Linked DNA regions of Neodiprion lecontei. The protein of the gene in region 2 interacts with the protein of the main gene of each other region in a pairwise test. Links are inferred from orthologs where the notes say so. Each region holds a gene or a part of one and is shown on either strand. Other genes may lie near its edges.

What was found.
Region 1: the proteins of calpain-D-like (region 2) and putative E3 ubiquitin-protein ligase UBR7 interact in a two-hybrid assay, tested with the Drosophila melanogaster proteins (2 studies listed by BioGRID). The link is inferred for Neodiprion lecontei from reciprocal best matches to the Drosophila melanogaster genes sol and CG15141.

What each region holds. Positions count from the first base shown.
Region 1 is NC_060261.1:2,491,368-2,497,239, reverse strand, and holds putative E3 ubiquitin-protein ligase UBR7, read right to left. Parts: upstream 3,770-5,872; 5' UTR 3,479-3,769; coding exon 3,338-3,478; intron 2,899-3,337; coding exon 2,710-2,898; intron 2,634-2,709; coding exon 2,484-2,633; intron 2,276-2,483; coding exon 2,167-2,275; intron 2,083-2,166; coding exon 1,910-2,082; intron 1,815-1,909; coding exon 1,655-1,814; intron 1,557-1,654; coding exon 1,405-1,556; 3' UTR 1,045-1,404; coding exon of another isoform or gene 1,039-1,044; 3' UTR 622-1,038; downstream 1-621. Other genes in the region: uncharacterized protein LOC107216708, read left to right, coding at 1-48, 132-280.
Region 2 is NC_060265.1:8,932,650-8,937,593, reverse strand, and holds the start of calpain-D-like, read right to left. Parts: upstream 3,113-4,944; 5' UTR 2,747-3,112; coding exon 2,427-2,746; intron 1,939-2,426; coding exon 1,547-1,938; intron 478-1,546; coding exon 1-477. UniProt on the Drosophila melanogaster protein: Has a role in eye development. Calcium-regulated non-lysosomal thiol-protease.

The DNA.
Region 1 (5,872 bases), on a different chromosome or scaffold from region 2:
AAGTCTTTGAGTCCGGAAACGAGGATGGCATCACAACTATCGCTGTCGGTGAGTGCAATATATACAGTGAGTAGCGAGTCCAAGGAGTTTGTAATCAACTATTTTTTTCTTCCTTTCATTATTTTCACCAGGTATATTTGACTGCATTGAGAAAACCTGGTCCGTCTATACTGACAATCCAAAAAGCAATGATCCGATATTGGTGGTACCGTTACAACTGAACAACAACAACAACACAATCAGTGTTTCAAAAAATCAACCGTCTGACATTGGAATATAATAACTACAGTAGATAACATTATAGGAAATAAATTGTTCACGTGCTTTTACTTTGCCTCAAAATGCAGAATCCATTTAGATCATCTTAACTGGAGATGATAAGAGTTTATGTGACTAATATTATATCAGGTAATACTTATAGTTTAAATGTAAACTTTTATTTATTATTTGTGAAATTGTAAGATAGTTCAAGCTATGATGATGGCTTAAAAAAGATCGCGTATTATTCCTGCATCACATTCGCGATAACTACTGCGTGAATATGTAAACGTGCGATTAATTAGCATGTTAGACAAATTTGAATATTCAACAAGCGACAGGTAATATTTTTCTTTTTACACATCGCATTACTTGGCAATGAATATCGCTCAGTTGAATTTATGTGTATAATGAAATTTATAGCAATTCCTATTACAAACGAAATTCTATAATTGATTTATCAAACGTTTATCTTCACTCATTACCGATCCTTAATTTATGGCAAATTATATACAAGCAGCATCTTGAATATACTTTAAAAAGACTTTGAAAGACGTTACATATTTTTATAAGATCCGTTGTTATTTATTACTGAACATAACGACTGTTACCTAGCTATAAGATAACGAAAATAACAACAATAATTTTAGACATGATTAATAATACTTAATTTTTGTTTGTTCGATGGCTTAAACAATTACGTGATGATAATTCTGTTCGGGAAATTCTTTTGAAGTGACCCCTGTTAATTCGTCGTCTGTTTTGCGATTCCAGCGGGATTCAGAGCTGTAATTATTAGGTATGTGTTAAGCTTTTTCGTATATCGGCACTATTTTAGTTTAACAAATACCATTCTCGAGAACTTTTACAAAAAAAAAAAAAACCGAATCTAACTGAAGCTAATTTTGGAGAGAGGAAAACCTGAGGTAAATTTTCAATAGTATTAATATACATTATAGAAATACTGATTTTGCAAATTATAATATTATATTTACGACACATAGATGATTATACATAATAATTTTTAAGACCCTAATAATATTATGGGATAAAATACGAGTACGCGGGCATATTGCGTTTTCTTTATAAATTCACATATCTGTTAATTTTCCTTTCATTGATCTTATTTTTTTTATTTTTTCCTAATCAACGACAAAATGTTGGCACAACAACCTTCTGACGTTTGTTTGCTTCCATCCCAGAAAAGAATTCTTTGATATCCTCCTCGCGTACAATCTTCTTGTTCTCGGCAAACTTTTGAAGGTATTCTTTGAGTCTTTCCTTCATGTTGTTGAATTCTAACAAAGTATCGAGAAAAAAAGGAAAATAATTTTGTTTTATTATATTCCAAAAGAATCGGAAATTTGAATAAATTATTGTGTATTCGTGACCTCACCTTCAATAGCAGTTAATTGCTGAACATGACCGAGTGAGGCGAGTGCCTTCATTCCTCTTTCATACTGGGATTCAGTCTGGCTAGCTTTTCCAGCCTCTTCGTAAACCTGGACACTGTCCATCGGATCGAGCAAGAATTCGATACCGCTTTGTTCATATGTCTAACAAGCGTAAGTAAATATTGAACACATAGAACAATATAATGTTTCAAAAAGGCTGCGAAACTTTTAGAAGATTTCACAGTAAAAGAGTATACCTTTTTGCAACTGTCGCAAGTGCACAAAGATGATCGCCAACCTTCTGCCCAAAAACAGGCACCCGTTGACGTTGATTGCGGTTCTAGCGGTATCTTACAACCTGCAGGAACGTTTTCGACATCTACAGTTTCGTCCTTTCCATTGGATGAGTCCTTCTTCGCATCCCTATTCACTGTGATGATATCCTCAATAAATTAGCCTTTAGATTAAACTCTGGATAGCATTGAGTTATTTTTCAACTTAAAGTGAGATCTACCTGAGTACTTCGAAGCATATTTCCAAAGGAACGTGTGTTTCTGCATACACCCAGAACAAATCAATTCGTCATAATCATCAGGAGGGGAAATATCTCCGCAACCAAGATGCTAAATGGTGAAAAGAAAAAAAAATTGTGAAAAACTGAAGTCTGTACAAACCCAAGACGGATTTGAAGGTAGATTAAAACTAGCAACAAAGAGAAATTCAACAGTGATATTGAAATCTCTTCTCCCTACATATTTCTAAAATTTTATGACTGTAAAGAAATTTCAGGCTGACGCGAGGCGGTTCATTTAAAGTCGTCTACTCTCTGACCTTGGAGTGATACCAATCCTCGCATACAACACACTGGAGCATTTCATCTCCGCTAGTATCCTCAGGGTCTGGATAAGGTCTGGCACAGGTACAATAAAAGCCATCAAAGTTTTGGTTGTATTGATTTTCTTCGTTAGTGTCGAGTTTGGTCTGAAAGAAATAGAAAATGAGCATGAAAATTGATTGGTACGCATTCAACCATGCCGTGTAAGAAAAGAATCCTCACCAGTTCCAAGCTACACTTTTTGTCACCAAATTTGGAATTTCCACAATCACAGCGAAAGTGGCGCTTGGTGTAAAGCTCAACCAGCTCGTGCCCCTCGTGGCATTGAAAACTACAGGCCAGACACACTCCGGCGGGATTTCCGTCACCGCGACAGGTCTTGCAGGCATAAAGTGCCTGCCGAATGTAGCCCTGGAAATTTGGGTTGGTGTATTTCAAGAGGAATACCTAGATCTTGACAGATTTGCATTGAGCATCCAAGAATATAAGCAAGAAATTCGATTAGGATCCGAAAAATCTATGTAAGATTGTGTTGACGAAAAAAGAAAACTGTTTACTGTTTACATAAAATTCGTTGACATTTCTGCCATTAACGTGATATACATCTGCGTTAGGTGTTTGGCATCGTGAATACGTAATGCACAATATAGGATACGTTGAAACGGGGAGAAAATTTACTTACGGCGAGTGGAAAAATATAGCTTTGAATGAAATTTATCTCGCGTTGAGAAATATCTTCGATATATTATACAATAAAAGAACCAAAGTCTGATGAGTGGTTGTCGAGGATGTGGTGTAGAGAGGAAAGGTTAAAATCTGTTAACTCCGAGCTCAAAGTGCGGCTGAATACCTTGTTATAGGTGCAATTTTTATCATCGGAAGCACCCAGCACGGCGTAGGCGTCTTCCTCTAGTTGATTTTCCTCTTGAAGAACATCGAGCATCGTGACAGAATTATCCTCCTCTAAAATATCAGCGCTTTTCTCGGCCATTTTTCGACTTCTTTGAACTGACTTTATTCCGCGTATTGGTATAATTGATCACAATTATTTACCCTGGAGGCTAGTTAACGGCTTTCACAAATTTAAAAGTAATTTTCTCGATCTAGGTATATTTGCCCTCAATTTATTTCACGAATAGTAACATATTATGAGAAATTTTCCGACAAATTCTACTCGCCCATACCTCTAAACGATGTGACTCTTCCCCTACGAAACACTCTGCAACTTTCGCGCTCAAATACACGCTAAAACAACAAGTTCAGCCCGCAAGGTGGCCACCTACGAGGTCCAATGACTTTTCGTAATTCTAACCTGTTGAAAAAATTATATTTTCTAAATTGTGAAGAAATTTAGGGAGATTCAATGACTACTATTATTGCTAATCATATTTTTTATATGCTGCATCATCGTCGTTCGAGTTTCAAAGCTACTGCAACATTTTTGATACTTGAGTAATTACATCCTTCAATTCAGGCGGTCAGCCTGCTTTCAGCTTTGCGAAGCAATCATATTGCAAAGTTAATTGGAAGATATCGATGATTGGAAGCAATCAATCAGCAGTCGCGGGTATACTTTTTTCCCAATCGAAGTATGAATCTCTGCTCTTCCCTTGACGCCAAATACAGCAGAGTACAGCTCAGTTACTGACAGAGTACCGCTCAGTTACCTGCGGAGTACAGCTCAGTAATTACACCGAGGACACCATTTCAGTTTTATAATTCATAGACGCTGCTGCGCCAATCTACAGACAGTAGCGACCTCTTCATTGATGTCGTGGAAATCATAGGTCTAAACTCTTAAAACCGCACGAAAAGCGGCAAAGTTCAGGGTACAGGCTGGTTTCGGTGAGAAGAGGTAGAGGCCGTCCTGAGTTGGCCAGTATGCTTCCGACTCACGTCGAGTGAGGTCGGTGGTCCTGGCGCGGTACATTAGAGAATTTTTCGTTCTCATAAATTAAATATCAAGTGGCGTACACACGGAGTGGGTTGAAGGTCGTACGTCGTGGGAGAAGCGGGCGAATGCGAAGGTGGTCGACACCTTTACCTGTCTTAATACCGAGTAGAAAGAAGCACGAAGAGCCGAGGATCGGCACGTCTTCGTTTCCAGACAACATATCCCCATAATACATGATAGTTTCGTCCGACTGGTCAACTGCGCGTCTGATAAACGTGAGTAGACACATCGTGCATGCATGAGCGGAACGTAGCTGCGTACATACACTGTATCTAAAGCTACACGCGCAGCTATAATTAGCAACAGTCGAGTTATCTTTTTCCCCACTTCGGGCGAACACAGCTGTGTACAAAATCGTCACATATCCGAATGCATAGCATATATTTCGTTTCGGAGGCGCGGCCGCTGCACACCCACCCTTACAGCCAATCCGAGGCTGCTACGCGGGTTTCGGGTTATCTTATTGTTGGCCTGCGTCATGGCAGTTGCTTCACCTTAACTCGGTCGCCACGTTTTCGATCGGAGGAAACTGATTGTGTGTAAGCAAGAGAGAGTGAGAGAGAGCACCTTAGCTTTTACGATTAGTTGCGATGTGCTGGCTTGAGCCTGCGTGCGTTCGTTCGTTGTTCAACTTTAGAAAGTAGTTTCCATGTGCCTACCCTCTTCACATCTTGCGATTCTTATTTATTCAGCAACATCGTATTAAATTTTGTAACGTTATCGTAACGATTCATGCTGAGGAAAAACCGTGTTTCGCGCTTTTGAAATTGCCTGAAATAAATGAGAACACACTCACATTTCACGATCTTAGTTCCTTCAAAATCATTATAAAATTGAGAAAGAAAGGGATTCATTCGCTCAATATTACGTTACGATAACGTTACTAATTTTAACCTCGTTCAGCAACTACCTAGTTCTAAGTCTATAAATTAATTCTGACTATCTATGTTGGCAATGAACTAACAACCAACCAGCGATCCTCGTTTAATAGACTGTCTTTTTTTTTCTGAGGTTCGTTTCTGGTGTAATCACTGATCTTGCGCCCCCCCGCAAAACCTACTACTGAAAGATGATTCTTAATAAACACTGTTGCGCAATTGCTGTAGCTGTTGTGACGGGTGTCTTTTATTAGTTTTCTTGAACATTCCCAGCTCCAGTCTACGCGATACTCGGAACGGTGTATTAATTCCCGGTGCACTTTATGCCCCGAAACATTACCGTTGCAAAACTTCGTCGACTCACCGTTCATTCAAGAAATGCTAACTACACACGGTGTATGTGGATACATAGGTATACATACCTGTACGAAACCAGACTTTCGCCGAACAGTCGAATGAAGATTATGTTGGCGCAGCATTTTATCCAGTCACGAGGCGGTTCTCATGTGGCAGCCAGGGCCGCTGGCTAGATCCAAACTCGTTATTTTTACAT
Region 2 (4,944 bases):
TGACAGAGTCAACTTCCGAAAATGATCGCCGGTATGTCGGAAGGCCTGCAGAAGAAAGCGCTCTCGGCTCCCATGCCGGTACACTTATAACTACGCCGCTACAGGGTGCAGGGCTCCTAGGTGCTTCGCATGCCTCGCATTGTTCCAAGCCAGGTGCATTATCTAGCGTACAGTTGTCGCAGCTCCACAAGGCATTGTCTTGTTGCACCTCCGAAACTATGAGACTAGTTGGTCTTTGGATCCCAGCCTCCGATAACTTTTGAACAACAGAACCATTCGACAATGAACGGCTCACTTTAGATTTCACACGCTCGTACACCGAGGGACTGTGACGCTTTGGTGAACGCTGAGAATTATCTATGTTGTCCGTATAGGCCATTGAGGGCGAATCCATGGTTTCGACAGGAGGTAGCGTCCAACTTTCGCGGTTGGACCTTGTTCTGTCACTACGACCGAGGCTGGTCAGCTGGGCCATGTCTAGGATAAGAAAAAAGTTACTAGAAAATTATCTTCAAAGAGTTTGAAAAATCAACTCCTTTTTTAGCAATAATCAAGAGCCCCGAATAATGTATCTCTTGCTTCTTGAAAGTTTAATTGATACATGCAAGCTCTAAATTGTTAATCTAATCGACCACAGTCAGTGATTCATTGTGAAGTACCAAAAAGAATTTGACACACTAAGGTGTTTCAAAGTGCAAGGCTGGGAACACCGATTAATCTTACAAAACTACAGAGAGGGATTTTACCATTCAATAAATGAATAATGATTAAATATTTCATCTTGGCTGTGATAAAAACACAGCACGATTACAATTGTTTCTTCTAAGTTATGGTAAAATTTATCGTAAATATTAAGGTTTTTATGTGCATGATCAATCAATTTTGTTTTATAATCCATTAGTGAAGCATTACATAAATGCTCTTTACATCATTTTAGTTTGTGCATGAACAAATCAAGATAGATATCCTGTAAGTATATTTTTCACCTGATGGAATGAGGAACAAATTGAATGATTCGTTTGAAATATTATCACATGCCATTTAAAACGGCATAAAAAAAATCAATTCGTTTAGAATGTTCCATATTTTAGTTTCTAATTAGATTTCAGTCAAATAAAAATTGGGAGTTAATACCAAAGGTCAATTGCCTTTTTTAAAACCAAAATTAAAGAATTCTGAGAAACCTCGGTTTTAAAGCTCTGACATTTTCAGACATGATTATTACCCGTGCCTTTGTTATTTATGAACACACCGAAACACTATGCGAGTAGCTCATCAGCATTGACTGTCTAGAAAATGCGAAAATATTTGAGAAAGAAAGCGCTTCAAAGATTTATATCAGGAAGTTGCATCATAGAAGATAAGTGATATCGTATTACATGTGGGAGAAGAATTTTTAAAGGTAGTGCAGAGATTTATGAGAAAAAAATTAATTTTTTCTAAAAATAGAAATTTCTTACAGTATTATACAAAAACTACAGAAATTTCAAACAAAAATTTATTACCGGGATCTACTCTTGTAAGCAATGTCACCGTATTTGTTTACCTTTATTGGTTTTATCGAGATTGGAAGGAGTTGATGTTGCGTTGAATTCCACATTTAAAACACCATCTTCCAGTCCCGAAGACGAACTTTTAGCTGGATCCTCGTCATCATTGAGGTGAAGGTTTTTAAGTTTGCGAACTTCGGGTCTCCTCGCTTTCCGCGTCCAAATATGACCTTCCTGATTCGATGCGGGCAAGGAAATAGTTCCACAGGCGATACACTTGGCCACTGAGCTTTGGCTGTTTGGTTGCAAACATCTGATGCAAGTCCAGCGAGTAGGTAACAAAGGTACAGATACACCGTGTTTTAATGATACAGATTCAATTCTCGTCCTCCCAGACCAAGAGTTGCGCCGAGATATTTTATCCGAGCTTCTTGATCCGGGATCATTCCTAACGAAAATAATAAATGTTTGAGTTAAAGAGGTAGAGTACAGTCAGTTGAGAAAGTGGTGTAAAATTAATTTGCAAGTTTTTTTGAAATTGTAAGCTGAACAGAATATATTTTTGATCGTAGACACAGCGAACGATCTACGAACCCTAGTATTATCTGATAAGTTGTATTGTTAAGTCGAATCAAATGATTATCAGCTGTAGTGTTTCGTTGATTAGCGATAAATGTAAAAAATTTTGTACGGTTCAGTCCGATACACGAAAAAATTGATTTTTCGTACTTATAAGAGTACTGTTCTCAGTTCCTTTGTTTCCATACTGGATGTAGGTTTTTATAATAGATCGTCGTTTGTTTACACTTGAAGTAATTTGCGTGGGTATGTACAATGTTAGGTAGACTTGACTGGTTTTGAGTTGAAATACGTCGAATGGTACCAGGCATGAATATGGGGACGAGTGTCAGAATAAAGTAAATAAATATTGCTCACCCAGACGGAACGACGTTGTTATTTTTTACGGTGAACGAGAACGGTTTTTGATGGTAAACGCAGCTAGTTTTTGGTATGTAGCATTTTAACTGATTCGTAAAATTGAGTCGTGGTGGCGGTGTTGGAGGCGTAGAGTTCGCGGAATCGGGATTATTTTTTTCACAGACATTTGTACTGCTCGGGGATGATGTTTCGGGATTTGTTTTATTATCGTATACCCTACGAGGTTCCCCGCACCTGGCGCAGCTCGTGCTCTCGGTCGGGTTTATGAGAGAACACTTTGAACAATGCCACTGTAGCACCGAAGCGATTGACCCCATTCTCCATTCGTATTCATGGCTCTTTAATATCCTGAATTCGAAATCTGACAATTTTTCAACAATCAAATGTCGGTATTTTGTTCGTCCTAGAAAAGCAGCGCAGCGCTTTATCCTTTGTCATATGTTTTCGAGCGGCCATGTTTATCAGACCGCTGCTCGCATCCCGAATTCTCACTTGTCAAACACCGTCCCTTCTTTTACCGTTATCACTTAATATCCTAGTAACTATAACCTCGCGCGATCTATAATTCATTTTTTTTAACCGAATTTCAACATCTCAACCGCGTAGCAACAACGTTTATCATCCCACACACCGTGCACGGACAGAGGTTTCGATTTTTTCACGTTTCTTCGCGCTTTCCGCGGTGTTGACTTACTGCGATCCTCAGCGCAGGAGCGTACGTACAAAGTTTATTACCACCCATCACTCCGTCGTACAACAAATTTTCTAATATCGTCCCGCCGATGACGGAGAGTAATGTACTTTTTGAAAATTTCTGTGTTTTCATTTGGATGCAGTTGAAGCATTCCGAACGATTTTTATTGGGATGTTGCAGCTATGTACAAAAATCGTCGATTAACTATTTCTGATACGGACTTTGTGCACGTCAGTTAACATACGTACAGACGTGTTAATCCAATAATTAGAAACAAAAATTACTAGAAATTTTTCGTTTCTAAATCACGCGACACGGTATCTTTTACATTGTCTTCGAAAGTTGAGTGAGCAGGGTTCTTGACCGCGCGATACGTTAGCAAGTGACGTCACAGGAGAGACATACTGATGCTGCCACCTTGGATTAAAAAACTAGGTACAAAATATGAACGCGCGGAGATCTGGGTTGTTGTCGAGTCCCTGTGGCGCAGAGGATAGCGCGTTGGACTTCTAATCCAAAGGTCGTGGGTTCGATCCCCACCAGGGATGACAAGGTTCACGCCTTTTTTTTTGGACTACTTGTTCTTTTCCACCCCTAAATTAATTAGCATAGATCCGGCCAAATCTGACAGGATCGCTTAAACCCGAGTTAAAATTTACCCTCAATGACCCGTTATTTTTATTTCGAGTAAAAATCATAAAAATTATGAGGACTGAATCAATATTCATTTTTTTTCCGACTTTACCAATAAGGAACATCACTTTGCCGTCCCCCTCTGACTTCGTTGCAACTCACGCATGTTGTAGAACATTGTAAACTAAAACACACGTATTTTGTTTTTATCAGGGAAAAACGGTTTAAAGGGGTGAAAATTATTCCCAAAGATGGGCACTCTATGGGATGGTTTCTCAGTTCCGGATGGAAGCGCTTGATGTATTTCAATGAAACAAACGCTGAAATGTTTCATTCCCATATACGATCGATATTTCAGCATTGGTTTCATTAAAATATATCAAGCGCATATAGAAATGACCCCATTGGGTGCCCATATTTAGGGATCGTTTTCACCCCTTTAGATCGTTTTTTCCGCCGACAAGAAAAAAAAAATAGGTATTTTCAGTTTCCAATGTTCTACAACATGTACGAGTTGCAATGAATTAGAAGTGAGATAGCAAACTGGTGTTCCTTGTAGGAGACAGCGAAAAACGTAAGATTTATTTTTTCCAGCCGTTCCCACTTTTTGTTTAGAGATTAGTGATTCTGAGAATGAAATAGTTAGATTTTCGATCAGTTTCAAGTATCTACGGTTAGATTTTTTTTTAATTCATCACAAAATTTATTCGTAGTGTGCTGAAGAAAGTTGGAAGTTTTTTCAACCGTAAGATAGGCAACCCAGTTTACCGCAGTGTATACTTGGTCACTATTCCTAGCGCGTCGGTCGCTTGTCAAAGAACGCCTGAAAACAGCTTAATGTTGTGCGGGTAGATTTGCGTCACGTTACTATACTCGCGTAAATTTGTTATCTTGCGACAGCTCTGATTGCTAAAAAATTGTGTTACGAAAAAGAGGATGCTTGTGCACCAATTTAAAAATTGCAGCTCTCCAAGTAAACATTCACTGCTGTCACATGACAGTCTGACAATGAAACATGGAACGGGTCGTAGAATCGTATTTTTCTTGCTCCTGAAATTGCACTTTCACGATTCATTGCTCGCGATGCGACGAATAATGTAGAAACTTTAAACGCAAATAGATATGAAATTGATTACAAAACCACGAATAACAACATAATAACAATACTAAAAACTAAATAAAGTTTTG